Bombyx mori: one gene and its partner. The protein of the gene in region 1 purifies or fractionates together with the protein of each later gene. This does not show direct contact. Links are inferred from orthologs where the notes say so. Each region holds a gene or a part of one and is shown in the gene's direction. Other genes may lie near its edges.

Region 1 (8,478 bases):
TGGGAGGTAAGATATTAGTGTGATGACGCATAAACCTCGCCTAGGGGTGGCAGAAACCTATTACATTAAAACCAGTGGAACCGCCCAGTTTTTCACCATTTTGCTCTTCGTATTGATTTAGGTATTTCATAAATATGGATATACCTAAGTACCGTAGATGCATAGTTGTATTATTTTCCACAGGTGAAAGTTAACGTAATGTAAAATATTGTGGCGTGCGTCAGTGATCCAAGTATGTTGTAATTTTTACCTTTTGCCATATAACTAGTAACTGTAAACTATCAAATAACTAGCTGACCCGGCAGACTTCGTTGTGCCTCAATCGATAAATAAAAGGCCTAAACTTTTGTGTAAAATAAACTTAAAACAAACAAAAGGAATCCGTCCAACGGGGGACACATCAAAGGAAAAACAAAATTGTTATTATTATTTAATTCCGAGCATTTTCATATTTATCTACCTTTCAAACCTTCTCTGGACTTCCTTTTTTTTATTGCTTACATGTGTTGACGAGCTCACAGCCCACCTGGTGTTAAGTGGTTACTGGAGCCCATAGACATCTACAACGTAAATGCGCCACACACCTTGAGATACAAGTTCCAAGGTCTCAGTATAGTTACAACGGCTGCCCCACCCTTCAAACCGAAACGCATTTCTGCTTCACGGCAGAAATAGGCGGGGCGGTGGTACCTACCCGTGCGGACTCACAAGAGGTCCTACCACCAGTAATTACGCAAATCATAATTTTGCGGGTTTGATTTTTATTACACGATATTATTCCTTCACCGTGGAAGTCAATCGTGAACATTTGTGAAGTACGTATTTCATTAGAAAAATTGGTGCCCGCCTGCGGGATTCGAACACCGGTGCATCGCTAGATACGAATGCACCGGACGTCTTATCCTTTAGGCCACGACGACTTCAAATAATTCAAGTCAATTCAATTCAATTCAATTCAACCTCAAATAATTCAAGACCAAAATTAGCCAAATCGGTCCAGCCGTTCTCGAGTTTTAGCGAGACTAACGAACAGCAATTCATTTTTATTAATATAGATTTTCAAAGTTATCCTGCTTATAGAAAACCATTGATTTGATGGTTGTTGCCTTATAATAATTGCAAGCAGGGAATACCTATATTATGTGTCTCTAATTTCATGGAGTGAAAAAGTGGAGTGACAATTTTGTTGTCTTGTTTTTTTAAAAGTCCTTTCACATTTGTTATAAGGAATAAATCGTGTTTGTAAAGTGCGATATACATACTTACTTATATCATCTACTCAACAACTGTTTATTGACATTATTTATGCATATTTGTCTTCATAACAGGATTTAAAAATTAAATACCAGATATTTCACAGACTAATTAAATAAAAAATGAAGTCCGAAATAAACTAAAATAAAAAATAAATAGTAATATTAATCTAAGAGGTAGTTTTACCAAGAATACTTAGATTGAAATAAAGTTTTAAAACCTAAATTATAAAAAAAAAATAGAACAATTTAAACTTTAACATTGAATAGGTACAGATAAGACAATGAAAAAATATATCCTTTGGGACCTTGAAACTGAGACAGACAAGAGAATATTATACCTATATGGCAACTATTTATAAGTAAAACATCTTAGGTGCAATATTACAATTCTCGCATTGACGTCGTTCTGTTACTGTAATATTATTTCTATTCAAACTGAATCATTTATTCCTCGGTTTACAAAAAATGTCCAATTACCTATTTATTTTTAACACACTATACTTATGACTATTAGCGTTTTTTATCTTACCTATTTGCTGGTAGCGAGGCTATTACAGCTACGCGCGGACGGGTAGGTGACCTCACGGACTCAACCTGAGAGAATTTGCAAACACTAGCCCTATAAAGAGCAGTGTTTCGCCGTCGGATCTACCTCCACGCGCATACGCATACGAACCCTCCCTCTCATTCCTCCCTTCATCAGTCCACCCCTGCCCTAAGTGGCAGGGAGTTTCTGCCCGGGCAGTGGGGTTTGCCCCGAGGCCCGTTCCGTGCCCCCGTAAGGGGGTACGACGACCCTTCTTCTTCTTCTTCTTCGGATCTACCACCGGATCGTAATCACGACCTCCTGAGAAGATCGGCCGAGAAACTCAGTGGATTGTGTCTATAGATTAGTTCATTTTAATTAGTAACTCTTGGTAATAAACGACGAGTAAGTCGAAGAAGCGTGCTAAGGCTTTCTTAAGATACTTACGTACCGGTTCTAAAGATTAGTCGTGAAGGCAGACATTATACAGAAAACGGAAATAAACGGAAAAAAATTGAAAATGAAATAGGTTGACAATAAAAGAATAAAAATTTACTTATGTTACTTAAGGTTTTGTCTTTTCCTATTTATGTAAGCTTATACTCAAAATTTTGATATTTGTATTTGCGCTAATGCCTTGAAAAAAAACATTTATTTCATGTGCGTGTCTGGAATTAACTCTGCTCATTTAAGCTTACACTGTGGTTAACACTATTGATTGACCTGCTTTAAACGAGATTCGAAAAGAATCAACAACGGTATACAACGGCCCAAATATACAATATAACAATAGGTCGTGTAAACAAAAAAAAATCTACACATAGGTATCATCACAAAATAAAAACGTATATGTATGCATATAGGTTTTCCATTTCAAAACACACGTTTGCCTTTCAATTTATTACAAATTACATACATACTCTAAGTATTAAATCTATTTGATTACAATTACTACTATGTTTTGAAATTCATCAATGACCTTTCTACGTTACACTTCTGTACTTAATTAACACAATATTATTAGAATCGATATCCAAAAAAGAATTGTTTTGTTTTGGTCTTCGATCGCATAACATCAAGTGGATCATGATTCGTCTGCCTATTTAAGAAAAACATTAAGCGATATATTCATTAACACTACACATTAGCTGATTGATTTGAAGAGAGATTAAAAAAAAGTATACTAAAACTATGAAAATCTGCGGTATAGAAATCTTTATCAATAAATACATGCTTATAACAAACATACATACGGTGATGGGTTATTTGCGAATGAGCATATATCTATATTGTGAATAACTACTAATGTACTACTAAAATATCAAGGGTAAAGGTTTAAAATGTAAGGTCTATCTATTTCAATTTTACCGCCAATATCGTTTATATTTTTTAGTAAGTTGGCGGGATCCCATGATCTTAATTTCCTGGTTGAGCCTTTGCTCGCTCACCTGTCCAAGTAAAACTGGAAAGGCATCCGGGCCACCAGTAAAAGCATTCAATCATAAAAAAATGATCTTTATTTATTTAACATAGTACTTTTTTTTTAATTGGGCTATCATTATTTAATAGAACGTCTCAAACTTATCAACATGTAAAAAAAAACAATACAAAACTATAGGTTCATACTGTCATAAAATTTAGATTTCAATAAATTGAAAAAGTTTATAATTGAGCCTCTTGACGTAAGAAATGTCAGTCAAAGAATTGAATGCTAAAACCAGCTAAAACGGAACGTAATCATCCCCGTCTCAACCATCTCATCATTTATATATTAAGTGTATAATCTATGCATCTCATTTGGTTTGGAAATGTCAAACAAACTAAATATCAAAGTGTGTGTAATGTAGAAATAGCCAGTAATAATGTATTTTAAACTCGGGTGCCTTATTTATATGTAGAGAAATATTAGCAGTCGCTCTTTTATTTCATGCGTTGTTCACTTTCGCCACAGTTTGCTTGCATCCGGCGGTGAGGGCGGAAGTGCAATGAAGTCGGTCTGCTTCAACGGGGCCAAAGATAGGCTCATACACGAGGCAGACCAGCTTATCTCCTACATAGAAAGAGGCTCTACCGTTTTAAAATTCTTCCCTCGTAAGAGACCCGAAAGGCGTGCACTTTGCGTGAGAAGAGAGACCCATCAAGTTCTTTGGTCTCGAATCAATGCCCCTCAGAGACAGGGCTACGAAGGGGCTCTCGATATCCGTGATGTCAAAGAAGTTCGCACTGGAAAATCATCCAAAGACTTTGAGCGTTGGCCTGAAGAAACCAAACGTCTTGAAAGTTCAAAATGCTTTACCATTTATTATGGAACTGAATTTAAACTTCGCTGTGCATCATTTGTTGGTATGTTGAAGTAGTTTATAAACATTTCTAAATGTGTGAGTGCGCGGACTGAGTTCTGTTAATTTTATGTTTCCTCTATAAATGGATCTGAGTCACTATTTACAATCTTTCAGCTCAAACAGATAAAGAGTGTGAAGCTTGGGTGAAAGGTGTACTGTATCTAATAGCAGAAGCTGTCAGTGCATCATATCCTCTACAGATTGAAAGATGGCTCCGGAAAGAATTCTATTCTATTGAAAACTCCCATGAAAAGTGAGTTATTTTTAAAAATGTGAATGTAAAAATTGCCAGTAATTGTTATTTTACCATTCCATATGTGATTTCAATGATTAATTATGTTTCTTTCTTGCCTATTTTGGTACATTAGCAGCAATTGTTATTATTTTCCAGTAAACTAGAGTATATATAGATCTCAGTAAGTAGTAATTGATGAAAGTAAACTTAATTAGCTTTTTTACATAAATGGAACATATTGTAATGTAATTTATTGTAAGGCAGGCTTTGTCAACACATTTTTAGTAATAGGTATGTAAAAGTAACAAACTATTACCAAATGATCATAAAGTAAAATAAATTGTAATAGAAAACAATGCAAAGCTTGCAATGTAATATTAAGTTAAACTCAAGTTATATTGCTTTATTAGTCTTTCAATTGTCTGTTACATATTTTCATTATTTAGTGTGAGTAAATATGAAAAACCTATTGTTATATTAATTTTCTTATTTCAATTTAATTAGCTTGAAAATGCATATATATTGTAAATGTAATATACAAAAATCATTTTAGAATAACATTAAAAGAGGTCAAAGCTTTTCTACCAAAAATTAATTGTAAAATTTCAACAAGTAAGCTTCGAGATGTATTCCAAGATGTTGACACTGAAAAAAGAGGGGAGATTGGCTTTGATGATTTTGCTGTTCTTTATCAGAAGCTAATTTTTGATGAGAATGTAAGTATTCATCTAATTTACTAAAAAGTAGGTTATCATAAACAACAAATCTAGTATTTCTTTAAATGTTACTAATTAAACTTATTCAAACATCAAACTTGTTATTTATTAAGATAAATGAGTAGATGAGCTCTTGGCTCACAAGGTATGTAATCATCAAAGCTTATAGGTATAACGAGAAGCCATTAGTTTCTTAATCTGAAATATGGATCAGTCCATCAATAGTTTGAAACCTTTGATTGTTCTAGGGTAGAAGACATGATGTCTTGATGTTTTTGGTTGCAAATTTTTTAAAACTGTACATTTTTTAAAACTGTAAATTATTTAATACATTTTTCTGGTGGGCAATATTATATAGTATTAGATATTATGTTGCTTCCTCAAAAAACTGTCAACTATTCTATTAGAGGGTAAGAGCTGTTTAGGAAGATTATAATATGGATGTAGTGATAGTAACTCAAATTAATCCATGTCTCACATAAATTATCTTAATGATGGCTTCATCAGAAGTCGTGAAAAAATCTGTGACCTTTTATTATACTCTCATAAACAAACAATATATTATGAATGCATTAAGAACCATATTGGCTTAGAAATCAGGCAATGCCACATTCACTGAATTAATAAGAAAGTAATTTTTTATGCATTTAACTCCTTGTCCACATTATAATATTTTAATATAAACTTATAGACAGTGATGTATGTAAAATATATTTTTTTCAGAATGTTCAGGACATATTTGATAAATACTCAGTCTATTGTTCTAATGGTACTACTATTACTCTTAGAGAGTTTCAAAATTTCCTTAGAGATGAACAGCATGATAACCTTGGTGATGATGAAGTACAAGCCTCACAGTTCATCCGTGATTACTTAAGAGATCCACAAAGAGACATCTATGAACCTTATTTCACTTTAAGCGAGGTAAATTAACTCAGCAGTGTGAAGTAGTACTTCTTGCATGGTGAAAATACTTTTTCTACAAAGTTTTGCTTCCATTTTGTTTTCTGTGACCTGCTACTGCCATTTTACTTTATACATAAGACGGTTATTAAGATTGTAGGTGATTCTGGTCTTACCTATAATTTCGAGCCTCTGAGTCTTTATGGAAGGCCTCAGTTCTCCCTGTTGCTGCCCACCATAAATGCAAACCTCTTTCCTACTACTTATAGTATGATACTTATAGTAGGAAAGAGGTTGTTGTACTGGGCATGCTATGGCTTTAAGAAACTGCAGCATGCCCAGTACACTCAATGGGCTTCCCCACTTTTTTTTTGCCATGGATACTACTGATGTCCAGGAGCAACCAGGTGGTATGTACGCTCAGCGTTTTCATGATGATAACACATTTAAATTATGAGCGCCTGCTTTGCAAGCTGTTCTATTCTCGTTATCTAAAGCTGTATTCTTATACCAAATATAATGTATAAATTATTTCTAAATAATCAATTACAATATTTCTCATTCCACTAATAGAGATATTCAAACTTTTTTTAAATTTTTCTTTAAATTACCTAATTGCAGTTTGTCGAGATGCTGTACTCCAAGCAGAATTCCATCTATGACAGTCAGTATGATAAGGTTACACAAGATATGACCAGGCCTTTGTCACACTATTGGATATCTTCTTCTCATAACACGTAAGCATAAATGTTATTATATTGATGAAACTTTTCGTGGATTGCATATCATGCATTAAGTGGTTCTACATATTGTGTTATTGTAGGTATCTGACAGGTGACCAGTTTTCAAGTGAATCATCACTGGAGGCCTACGTGCGGTGCTTGAGGTCAGGCTGTCGTTGTATTGAGCTAGATTGTTGGGATGGTCCTGACGGCACACCTTTTATTTATCACGGGCACACACTGACAACGAAAATAAGGTTTATGGATGTACTGCGAACAATAAAAGAACATGCATTCATCACATCTGAATATCCATTAATTTTGTCTATCGAAGACAACTGCTCACTCCCACAGCAAAGACGAATGGCGAGCGCATTTCAAGACGTATTCGGTGACCTTCTTCTTGTTCATCCAATGGATAAGAATGAAACATCACTTCCCTCTCCTCATGACTTACGCAGAAAAATAATCCTGAAACATAAAAAATTACCTGAAGGTGCTGAAGAAAGTTCTTTCGCAGTACGTCAAGAAGAAGGAAAAGATTTAGACCTACGAAATTCGATCAAAAATGGTATATTGCATTTGGAAGATCCTGTCGACAAAGAATGGAAGCCTCACGCCTTCGTGCTCACCGAGAACAAACTTTACTATACAGAGAGCTACAACAGTCAAGAAGAAACCGACACTGAAAGTGACGGAGACTCAGATGCGGAAAACGCTATTGTACCACAAGATGAATTACATTTCGCAGAATGTTGGTTCCACGGGAAGCTGGCAGGGAATCGACAAGAAGCCGAAGATTTGCTGAGAGCCCACGCCCATCTTGGCGATGGAACCTTTCTGGTGAGGGAGAGCGTTACTTTTGTCGGTGACTACTGTCTATCATTCTGGCGGCAAGGGAAAGTAAATCACTGCCGCATCAAGCTCAAACAGGAACGGGGGGTCACCAAGTTCTATCTGATAGATAGTATGTGTTTCGACAGCCTGTACAACCTCATCACCCATTATAGGTCACATCCTCTGAGGAGTCAAGTAAGACAATAAATAGTTTAGCATTTATTAACATGATCGCATGAAATATGCATGAGTTTTCTGCAAGGTAGCAGGGTTGCATGCATGCATTTTCTTTGAATGTTAATGGGGACTTGCATCAGTTGACCTTTTGTTATTTTCCTGCATATACATTAATATTAATGCGAAATTGATTTAACGTAATATAACACGGGAAAATTTCACAAGGAAAACCACAGAATTATTGTAATCAATGAAAGAAAATATGTAAATAATATCACACTTGTTATTGATTATTAAAAAAAAAAATTATTATAAGAACACATTTAATTTTGGTTTAATTTAATTTTGTTTCAGTTTTTATTTATTTATTTTATAAAAATAATATGTAAGCAAACCCTGTTTTACTAACATGTAAATTATATACAGTCAAACCTGGATAAGCGAGAGTTCAAGGGAGCACTATCTCATTCTCGCTTATAGAGGTTTCTCACTAACCCGAGTTTCTCACTAATGCACCCTCTGAATTTCATTTCGCGATTTTCCGGATTCAAACGCATTCACTATTTTAAGTTTATCACTTAATGACAGTACTTTAATTTTCCGTTTTGACATGATGCAGAACAGAACTTTCCTTCGCAATTAATTAACGATAAACTGTGTAAGTCCGACAAACAGGACGGTACACAGGCACACGTGTCCATTCGAAAAGAATGCGATAAAATAACAACGTTATTAGGTTCCATTAAATAGAATAGTTTCAATAT
Region 2 (8,007 bases), on another chromosome or scaffold:
AGTAAACAAAATATCTAGTAATAATATGAATATGATTGCCAAATTGAATTATAATTAACATCATTTTATTTAGGACCGGTGAACAGGGAATGATATTTAGAGAGTTGGTTGAAGATCTGGATCCTTCTATCGATCCAAACACGGTATTTTCGTGGTTCCATCCAAACTGTACCAAGAGTGAAGCAGTTGACATGCTAGTCAAGGCGGGCCCTGGAAGTTTCCTCGTCAGACCATCTGATAATTCTCCAGGAGACTATTCTTTGTTCTTTCACATTAACAACCAGATTCAAAGGTTCAGGATTGAGAAGAAGGGCGTCAGGTACTTGATGGGAGGTCGAACCTTTGAGTGCTTGGATGCTGTGATCAATAGATATAGGAAAGAACAAATTGTTGAAGGACACACTTTAGGTCAGCCGGTGAGTGTACATTCTATGAGCAATTTGTCACGTGGCAATTCTGGAATTTTATGTTAATTTTGATAATGAAATTCCTTTAGCTTATTGCGGAAGGTCACACTATCGAGCCGCAGCAAAGTACAACAGGGGCTGCAGCTGAAAAGATATATGCAACATTACGCGAATGTCGAGATCAGATCGGTCTGAAAAAGACGAAAGGAATCAAGCACTATGGGTATCTGAACAAGAAATCTGACAAGGGTGCTAAAAAATGGAAGCCTTTATACTGTGTGCTATTACAGGAAGGAACCGACACACATTTGTATTTTTACGATTCGCCGAAAAGGACCAAACCAAAAGGACTCATCGATCTATCATGCGCATATCTTTACCAGGTTGGTAATTAAATTTGAGACAAACATTTTATTTATTATAGTTTTCGTCTACTTAAATAATGTTACAAAATCGTGTTCGTACATTAAGATTAGGTTAAAATGTTTTTGTGTTGTTGACGTCAAATTACCTTTGTTATTATTACTTGTATGTTTGTAATGTTTGCATCATCCAAAAAATATTGAGCCGATTTTTTATCCTTGGCCCTTTCACGTTTCATATAAACTTCAAAGTTTGTTTTTACTATGCTAGGAACTGGAGATATAGGCAATTATATAAAAAAAAAAAGTTGCACTTATTTTAATTCATTTGTACTTTCTATTTAAGGCCAGTGAAATTATGGGACATTTCTTGTATCAACTAAAACTATAACGCTAAAGATACAATAAATTTTATTAGTGTAATGATTGTCTCATAAAAATTAAAAACATACATATTATTTACAGAAAATTAATATAAAATTTGATTACAGGTTCACGAATCACTTTGGGAAAAGGAGTTTTGTTTCCAACTCGTCGAACGTGCCCTACCATGTCTCTCTACACATACATTCTTGGCTGCCAATACTGCTACTGAGGAGAGGGCCTGGATTGAGGCTCTAAGACCTTTATGTGTGCCGCAGCAAGCACGACACCAGTGCAAGGTAATATCAATAATAATCAAAATATTGTAAATACTAAAGTGAGTTGTTTTGTCTTTACGTAGAAAAGAAAGATAAATAGAACCCGCCGACGGCCCTTTGTGTTTTCGTGCCTAATATATTGCAACAGTAATAACACAATTAGATGAAATTATATAATTCTTATTATAAACTAGCGACCCGCCCTAGCTTCGCTTCGGAAACATTAAATTTTATTATTGATAGTTGAGTACCGCGATGTTACCGGGGCAAAACTAGTATAAAAAAAGTAGCCTAAGTTACTCCTTATATCATCAGCTACCTATTACTGAAAGTCTCGTCAAAATCGGTCCCGCCATTCCAGAGATTAGCCGGAACAAACAGCCAGACAGACAAAAATTGTTATTTTGGTGTATCTACCGTATATATATTTATTTATTTATAAATAAATAATAAATAATAAAATAAATATATTCATATGCATGTAGTAAAAAGAGGCTATTTCAATATTACACACAGACACTCCAATTTTATTTATATGTATAGATTATTAATTAGCCATCTGTTGAAAATTCCGTGAAAAGAGCTAGTCTGGTTTTGAAGTGGCGATATGAGGTACAAGTTTGCATCAGGTGGGGCGCGTGTCGTGGGTGCGTTGGCTGCGCGTGCGTTGCCTGACGGCGCACCGGCTGCCCGCCCGCCTGGCGCCGCGCCCGCACCTGCGCGTGCTGCTGGGCGCCGCGCCCGTCGCCCGCACCCGCCCGCGCCCCTCGCCCGATCCGCACTGGGACGACGAGTTCTTCTTCGAGTTAGTACTATTATTATTTACTAACTTTTGCCCGCGACTTCGTCCGCGTGGAATAGTTCACAATTAATGCTTTTTTATTTGTAAACAAATTTGGTTAGCATAAAAAGCGTTATAGTGAGCCAACCTTAACATATAGCCGTACTCTCACATACTACATATGCCGTACTTCATATGCTGTCGCGGATTTTTTTTTTATCTTTTAAAGGGGAACAATTCTGTCATACATTATTTTAGCGAAACTTTAACCGTTTCCGCAGCGCACGCAGCGGAAGCTCTCAAAAGGGAAAAATACCCCGATTTTGAAACATTATCTATTGTTGCTCCGCTTGCATTGGTCTTAGGTCTTAGCGTGATGTTATATAACCTATAGCCTTCCTCAGTAAATGAGCTATCTGACACTGAAAGAATTTTTCAAATCGGACCAGTAGTTCCGGAGATTAGCGCGTTCAAACAAACGAAACTCTTCAGCTTTATAATATTAGTATAGATTTATCGCTGCACAAGACAGAAGTTATGGACACAGGAGCTGTCAGAGTGCGTGCTGGCTGCCTTCTGACTGTGAAGTACTCTTAAACCTCGCTGAAAATGTTTTCGTTCTTGGACTCTTCTGCAAAAAGTTATTTCCAGTTTGATAATATCTGATTTTTTTTTAACATTATGAGTTAATAAACTGGTACTACTTTTAATTTCAAATAATTATTGTGATGCTAAATGTTACAACACTTTTACAGTGATATGCCTCCAGATGTAACTTCATTTACAATTACCGTACATAATACAGGGAAAAGAGGAAAAGAATCTGAAGTAAGTATTAAAATTATTATTATAATAATCTGTTTCCGCTGTTCTAGAGGTTCATTGAGAGTTTCCCTTAAATTATTTTTATTTTTTCAATTCGTTTCTCGATAGATAGTAATTACAGTTTTTATGCGTAATCATAGGGTGAACGAGCTTGCGGCCCACCTCGTGTTAAGTGATTACCGAAACCCATAGATATCCCACCGTGAATGCCGCCTACCACCTTGGGACTTCAGGTCCATGTCTCAATTGTAATTACTAATAATCTACTTTTTGCAAGTTTGATTTTTATTACACAATGCTATATGTTTCATCGTGGAAATCATTCGTGAAACACCAGTGAATAAGGAATTAATTATTTCATTAGAAATATTGGTACTAGGCTCCTACTATTACTCCATCCACATCCTGGTCTATCTCTATCCAACTCTAATGGTATTTTCTATCCGAATATAGGTGGCTGAACTGACTATAGAACTCGCAAATTTGGCAAACGGTGAAGAAATAGAAGAATGGTATCCCTTAGTAGGAATGACTCCTATTGGGGAGTGGGGATCCTTGAGACTGCGGATAAGGTAGGATGTACTAATAGTAATAATGCCCCAGTTTCAAATAATCAAATAAATTTATTTGGCTACTTGGAACTGGCATATGCTAGAAATAAATACTTTAATTTTGATATAAATTAAATTTTTTGGTGTGTGTGTGTGTATGCTCCTAATTTTCATTTTGGCAAAATTGCAGGTATATGCAAGAATTAGTAATGCCTCGTGAAGAGTACAACCCGCTTCGTCAATTGTTGCTGGAACCGGGCATTCCGGCTGTGAAGGCGTTAGCAGATCTTTGCAGGACCGATCGACAACCTTTGGCAACATGTTAGTTTTATTAATCCATATTGTTTCTCCGTTTTATACATTTGTTTTAATATAGATTTTCTTTGTTGTATTATCCGCTCAACTTTGTTACAGTATAATTGTATAATGTAACGTATTTAAAGGCAGAAAAGAAAATTAAATTTCAAATCGTACTGGTAAATACACGAATGAGCGCTTTTTTTTTTTTCGCCTTTTATTATAGCCATAAATCTATTAGGTTAAGTCGGCTAATGAGCACTTTAAAATACAAAAACTTTCCAGCAATTTATGTCCATTGTGTATATTTTCATTTATTATCAACACAATAGAAGATGTATGATTGATGGAATGACGGCGATTATGCCCAATGATGGTGAAATAAAAAGTTTGCTAGGACTATTATATTACAATATAGTATACAGATGAGCTAAGAAAAGTTAGCTATTCTAATTAGTCAATGAATTACTTGCAAATGTCATCAGATAGTAGCTGATTTATCTGTGCAAATAATTGTGTAACGGGCGTGCGTGTGTACGTTACAGCGGTGCTGAACACGTTCGCGGAGTGCGGGCGCGGCGCGGAGCTGGCCCGCGAGCTCACGTGCGCGGAGGTGGCGCGCGAGGGCGACCACAAGACGCTGTTCCGCGGCGCCTCGCTCGCCACCGCCGTGCTCGACGAGTTCATGCGCGCCCACTGCAAGCCCTTCCTACAGGTCACCTCTTTGTACTACCAACTATTTAGAAAATATTTTTTTTTTATTGCCCATTGTAGGCAGACGAGCATACGGCCCACCTGATGGTGAGTGATTACCGGCACCCAAGCCGCTGCCTTGTTTAAGCAATGGGGAGAATTGATTTTTTTTTAAATTAATTGTGCATCAAAATTAACACTAAACATAACATATCGGATCAAATGACCCATTTTGAACTTTTACATTTGAAAAGCACGTATCATGTTATTGCTTTTGCACGTTTGACTTCATGGCTTTTTCTTACCGATTTAATCTACTGTTATTTCTTTGTTTTGTTTTAATTTTTTTGAGTAATACTTGTCGTATAGGTACCATTATCTACCCGCTATGGTAGAAAAAGGTATCAGTAAGTGTTGGTATGATTAGTGTTAAAGTATAGATTCCATTACATTTATGTGTGCAGTTCCATATGTTTCAATTTCAAATAATTTATTCACCTAAATAATATTTATGTAATGACTAGCCATTGCCATAGTAATAACATATAATACATATCAGATATACATATGTTTTATAACATAATCAAATAAAAGCACACAGTCATGCAAATAAAGTTAATAGAAAATCTATAAAAATAAATGATTGTGGTACCTAATCACAATAATAATTTAACAAATAGTTGTGTTAAATCAACAGTAAAAAAATTAAGAGAATTCATGTCACTGCATGTCCCTGTTGTGATTGAAATTAAAAATATGTATTTTTTTTATTCAGGCGGCGATTTCGGAAACCATTCAAAAGCTGATTGATTCTAAACAGACAGCAGAATTGAATCCCACTAAGATGGATTCACCTGACGACGCGTGTAACAATGCTGAATTTTTACTTATGATTCTCGATCAGGTAAAAATAATTAAGAACGAATATTACATACACACACTATTAATTGATGGGTTCTTACCACTATCTTCACACATCGTGACATTACGATATTTTGGTGGTATTGCAAGTGCCATGACCACGGGTAGACTGAAGACTAGCAGCACTTTTTTTTAAACAATCGTGCATCCTATATTTTCGGATTCCTCACGATAACCAGTTCGTGGAACGCTTTGTCCTGCAAGGAAGGGTGAAAAGCACGGTGTGCCTTGGACTGACATTGGGGGGCTTGTTAAAAGAGTCCAGTAGAATGGCCTCGATCAAGGAGAGGCAGCGGGCGTCGTAAAATATGTCAGATTTATCTCTTCAAAGCTACAGAACGATCACGACCGCTCTATCAAGAGTGAAACGAGTGAAAGTTAAGAATAAGAAAATATCCCAAATATAAAAATAATAAAAGTAAAGGCGAAAATGATGTTAATTATATTAAATACAGAGTGAACCGCGCGCATGGGTATCACCACCCTACCTATTTCTGCCGTGAAGCAGTAATGCGTTTCAGTTTTAAGGGTGGGGCAGCCGCTGTAACTATACTTGAGACCTTAGAACTTATATTGGGTGGCGGTTTACATTGTGGATGTTTATGGGCTCCAGTAACCACTTAACACCAGGTGGGCTGTGAGCTCGTCCACCCACGTTGAAAATAAAGTTGGTATAAATTGAATATTGTTGTCCTTTATCACATTGAATTAAAAAAAAGATTATGACATTTCAGATTACCCTATCAATATTTACTTCACCGGAAGCATGCCCTAAGCCGGTGAGATATCTGTGCGGGTGTCTGCAGCGAGCCGCGGTCGCCAAGTGGCCCAACGAACGCTTTGTACGCACCAGGGTCGTCTCAGGTATGAAATCAAAATTCGAATATGTAACGAAATTGTATGAACACGATGCGTTGTACTGTTTTAACAAATTAAGTTAGATTAAGGTATCTGTTGTTGAATTTTAAAAACAAATACCATCAACATTGAAATGCTTTTTTTTATTTTTTTATTGCTCATATGGGTGGACGAGCTCACAGCCCACCTGGTGTTAAGTGATTACTGGAGCCCATAAACATCTATGACGTAAAAGCCGCCACCCACCGTGAGATATAACCTCTATGAAATCTATATATATATAAATGAATTGCTGTTCGTTAGTCTCGCTAAAACTCGAGAACGGCTGGACCGATTTGGCTAATTTTGGTCTTGAATTGTTTGTGGAAGTCAAGAGAAGGTTTAAAAGGTAGATAAATGTGAAAATGCTCGGAATTAAATAAAAATAACAATTTTGTTTTTCCTTTGATGTGTCCCCCGTCGTCGGACGGATTCCTTTTGTTTGTTTTAAGTTTATTTTAGACAAAAGTTTAGGTCTTTTATTTATCGATTGAGGCACTGCAAAGTCTGCCGGGTCAGCTAGTCCTAAATAATAAATCATATTTATATCTGGTTTAGTGCAGTGTAATGAGATAATGTACCTTCCGCAGGGTTCATATTCCTGCGGCTGATCTGTCCGGCGCTGGTGGAGCCGCGAGCGTGGACGCTGGTGCAGCGGGCGCCGCCCCCGCACGCGCAGCGCTCGCTGCTCATGGTCGCCAAGTGTCTGCAGAACCTCGCCAACCTCGTCGAGTTCGGAGCCAAGGTTATAATTGCTACCAGCTATTTCAGAGCTCACTCATGACTAGGTTCCTGTAGGCATTCAGCATTGGTTTAAACGAGACTGCATCTATTAGTTTATATGTATAGAATATTTTTTTCATACTTTACCATCTGCACGTCTCGTAAAAATTTATTCGCTTGGTGTTTCCAGCGCTAATTAGGATTAGTTGGCTTGTCACCGGCCGTTCTTAACACTATCGGGAATTTATTTATTTATTTATTGCATAGTTGGGTGGACGAGTTCACAGGCCACCTGGTGTTAAGTGGTTACCGAAACCCATAGACATCTACAACGCAAATGCCGCCATCCATCGTGAGATATAAGTTCTAAGGTGTCAGTATAGTTACAACGGCTGCCCCACCCTTCAAACCGAAACGCATTACTGCTTCACGGCAGAAATAGACGGGGTGGTGGTACCCACCCGCGCGGACTCACAAGAGGTGCTACCACCAGTAAAAGTACTTTCATGAAATTTCGAAGATATGCTCACGACACCACTGTCGCGTCGCCAGATGACAAAGTATTAATGAACAACTAACCATCCATAACATACATATATATTTGAGGACCATAGTTAATTAGAAATGGATTATTTCAGGAACCTTACATGGAAGTAGTGAATCCGTTCATCTTAAAGAACAAAGAGAGGATGGTCGTCTTCCTAGATCAACTGAGTAACGTGCCAGATCCTGGAAATTCGCCGCCCAATTCTAATGTCAATTTTGAAATCGGTAAGCTTGTAAAGTATTTGACGAGTACGTTAGGCGCTCTATAAAGGATTGGCTTATTGGTTTGCGCATCATGGGGCGAAAATACTGCAATCCAAAAAAAAAGAATGAATATGCAAAAACAATTGACAAGTCATTATG

Evidence for each region. The genes of interacting proteins can lie anywhere in the genome.
Region 2: the proteins of PLCg (region 1) and ras GTPase-activating protein 1 purify together in Homo sapiens (affinity purification with western blotting; 3 studies listed by BioGRID and IntAct, with this or other methods). This does not show direct contact. The link is inferred for Bombyx mori from reciprocal best matches to the Homo sapiens genes PLCG1 and RASA1.

The regions. Positions count from the first base shown.
Region 1 is NC_085107.1:5,699,079-5,707,556, reverse strand, and holds the start of PLCg (phospholipase C gamma), read left to right. Parts: upstream 1-3,483; 5' UTR 3,484-3,614; exon of another isoform or gene 3,615-3,733; 5' UTR 3,734-3,767; coding exon 3,768-4,125; intron 4,126-4,238; coding exon 4,239-4,377; intron 4,378-4,912; coding exon 4,913-5,075; intron 5,076-5,798; coding exon 5,799-5,999; intron 6,000-6,599; coding exon 6,600-6,715; intron 6,716-6,801; coding exon 6,802-7,732; intron 7,733-8,478. UniProt on the Homo sapiens protein: Mediates the production of the second messenger molecules diacylglycerol (DAG) and inositol 1,4,5-trisphosphate (IP3). Plays an important role in the regulation of intracellular signaling cascades.
Region 2 is NC_085127.1:9,728,943-9,736,949, forward strand, and holds part of ras GTPase-activating protein 1, read left to right. Parts: intron 1-73; coding exon 74-416; intron 417-496; coding exon 497-790; intron 791-1,260; coding exon 1,261-1,431; intron 1,432-2,039; coding exon 2,040-2,215; intron 2,216-2,946; coding exon 2,947-3,019; intron 3,020-3,469; coding exon 3,470-3,588; intron 3,589-3,757; coding exon 3,758-3,888; intron 3,889-4,409; coding exon 4,410-4,579; intron 4,580-5,332; coding exon 5,333-5,461; intron 5,462-6,212; coding exon 6,213-6,342; intron 6,343-6,965; coding exon 6,966-7,120; intron 7,121-7,736; coding exon 7,737-7,869; intron 7,870-8,007. UniProt on the Homo sapiens protein: Inhibitory regulator of the Ras-cyclic AMP pathway. Stimulates the GTPase of normal but not oncogenic Ras p21; this stimulation may be further increased in the presence of NCK1.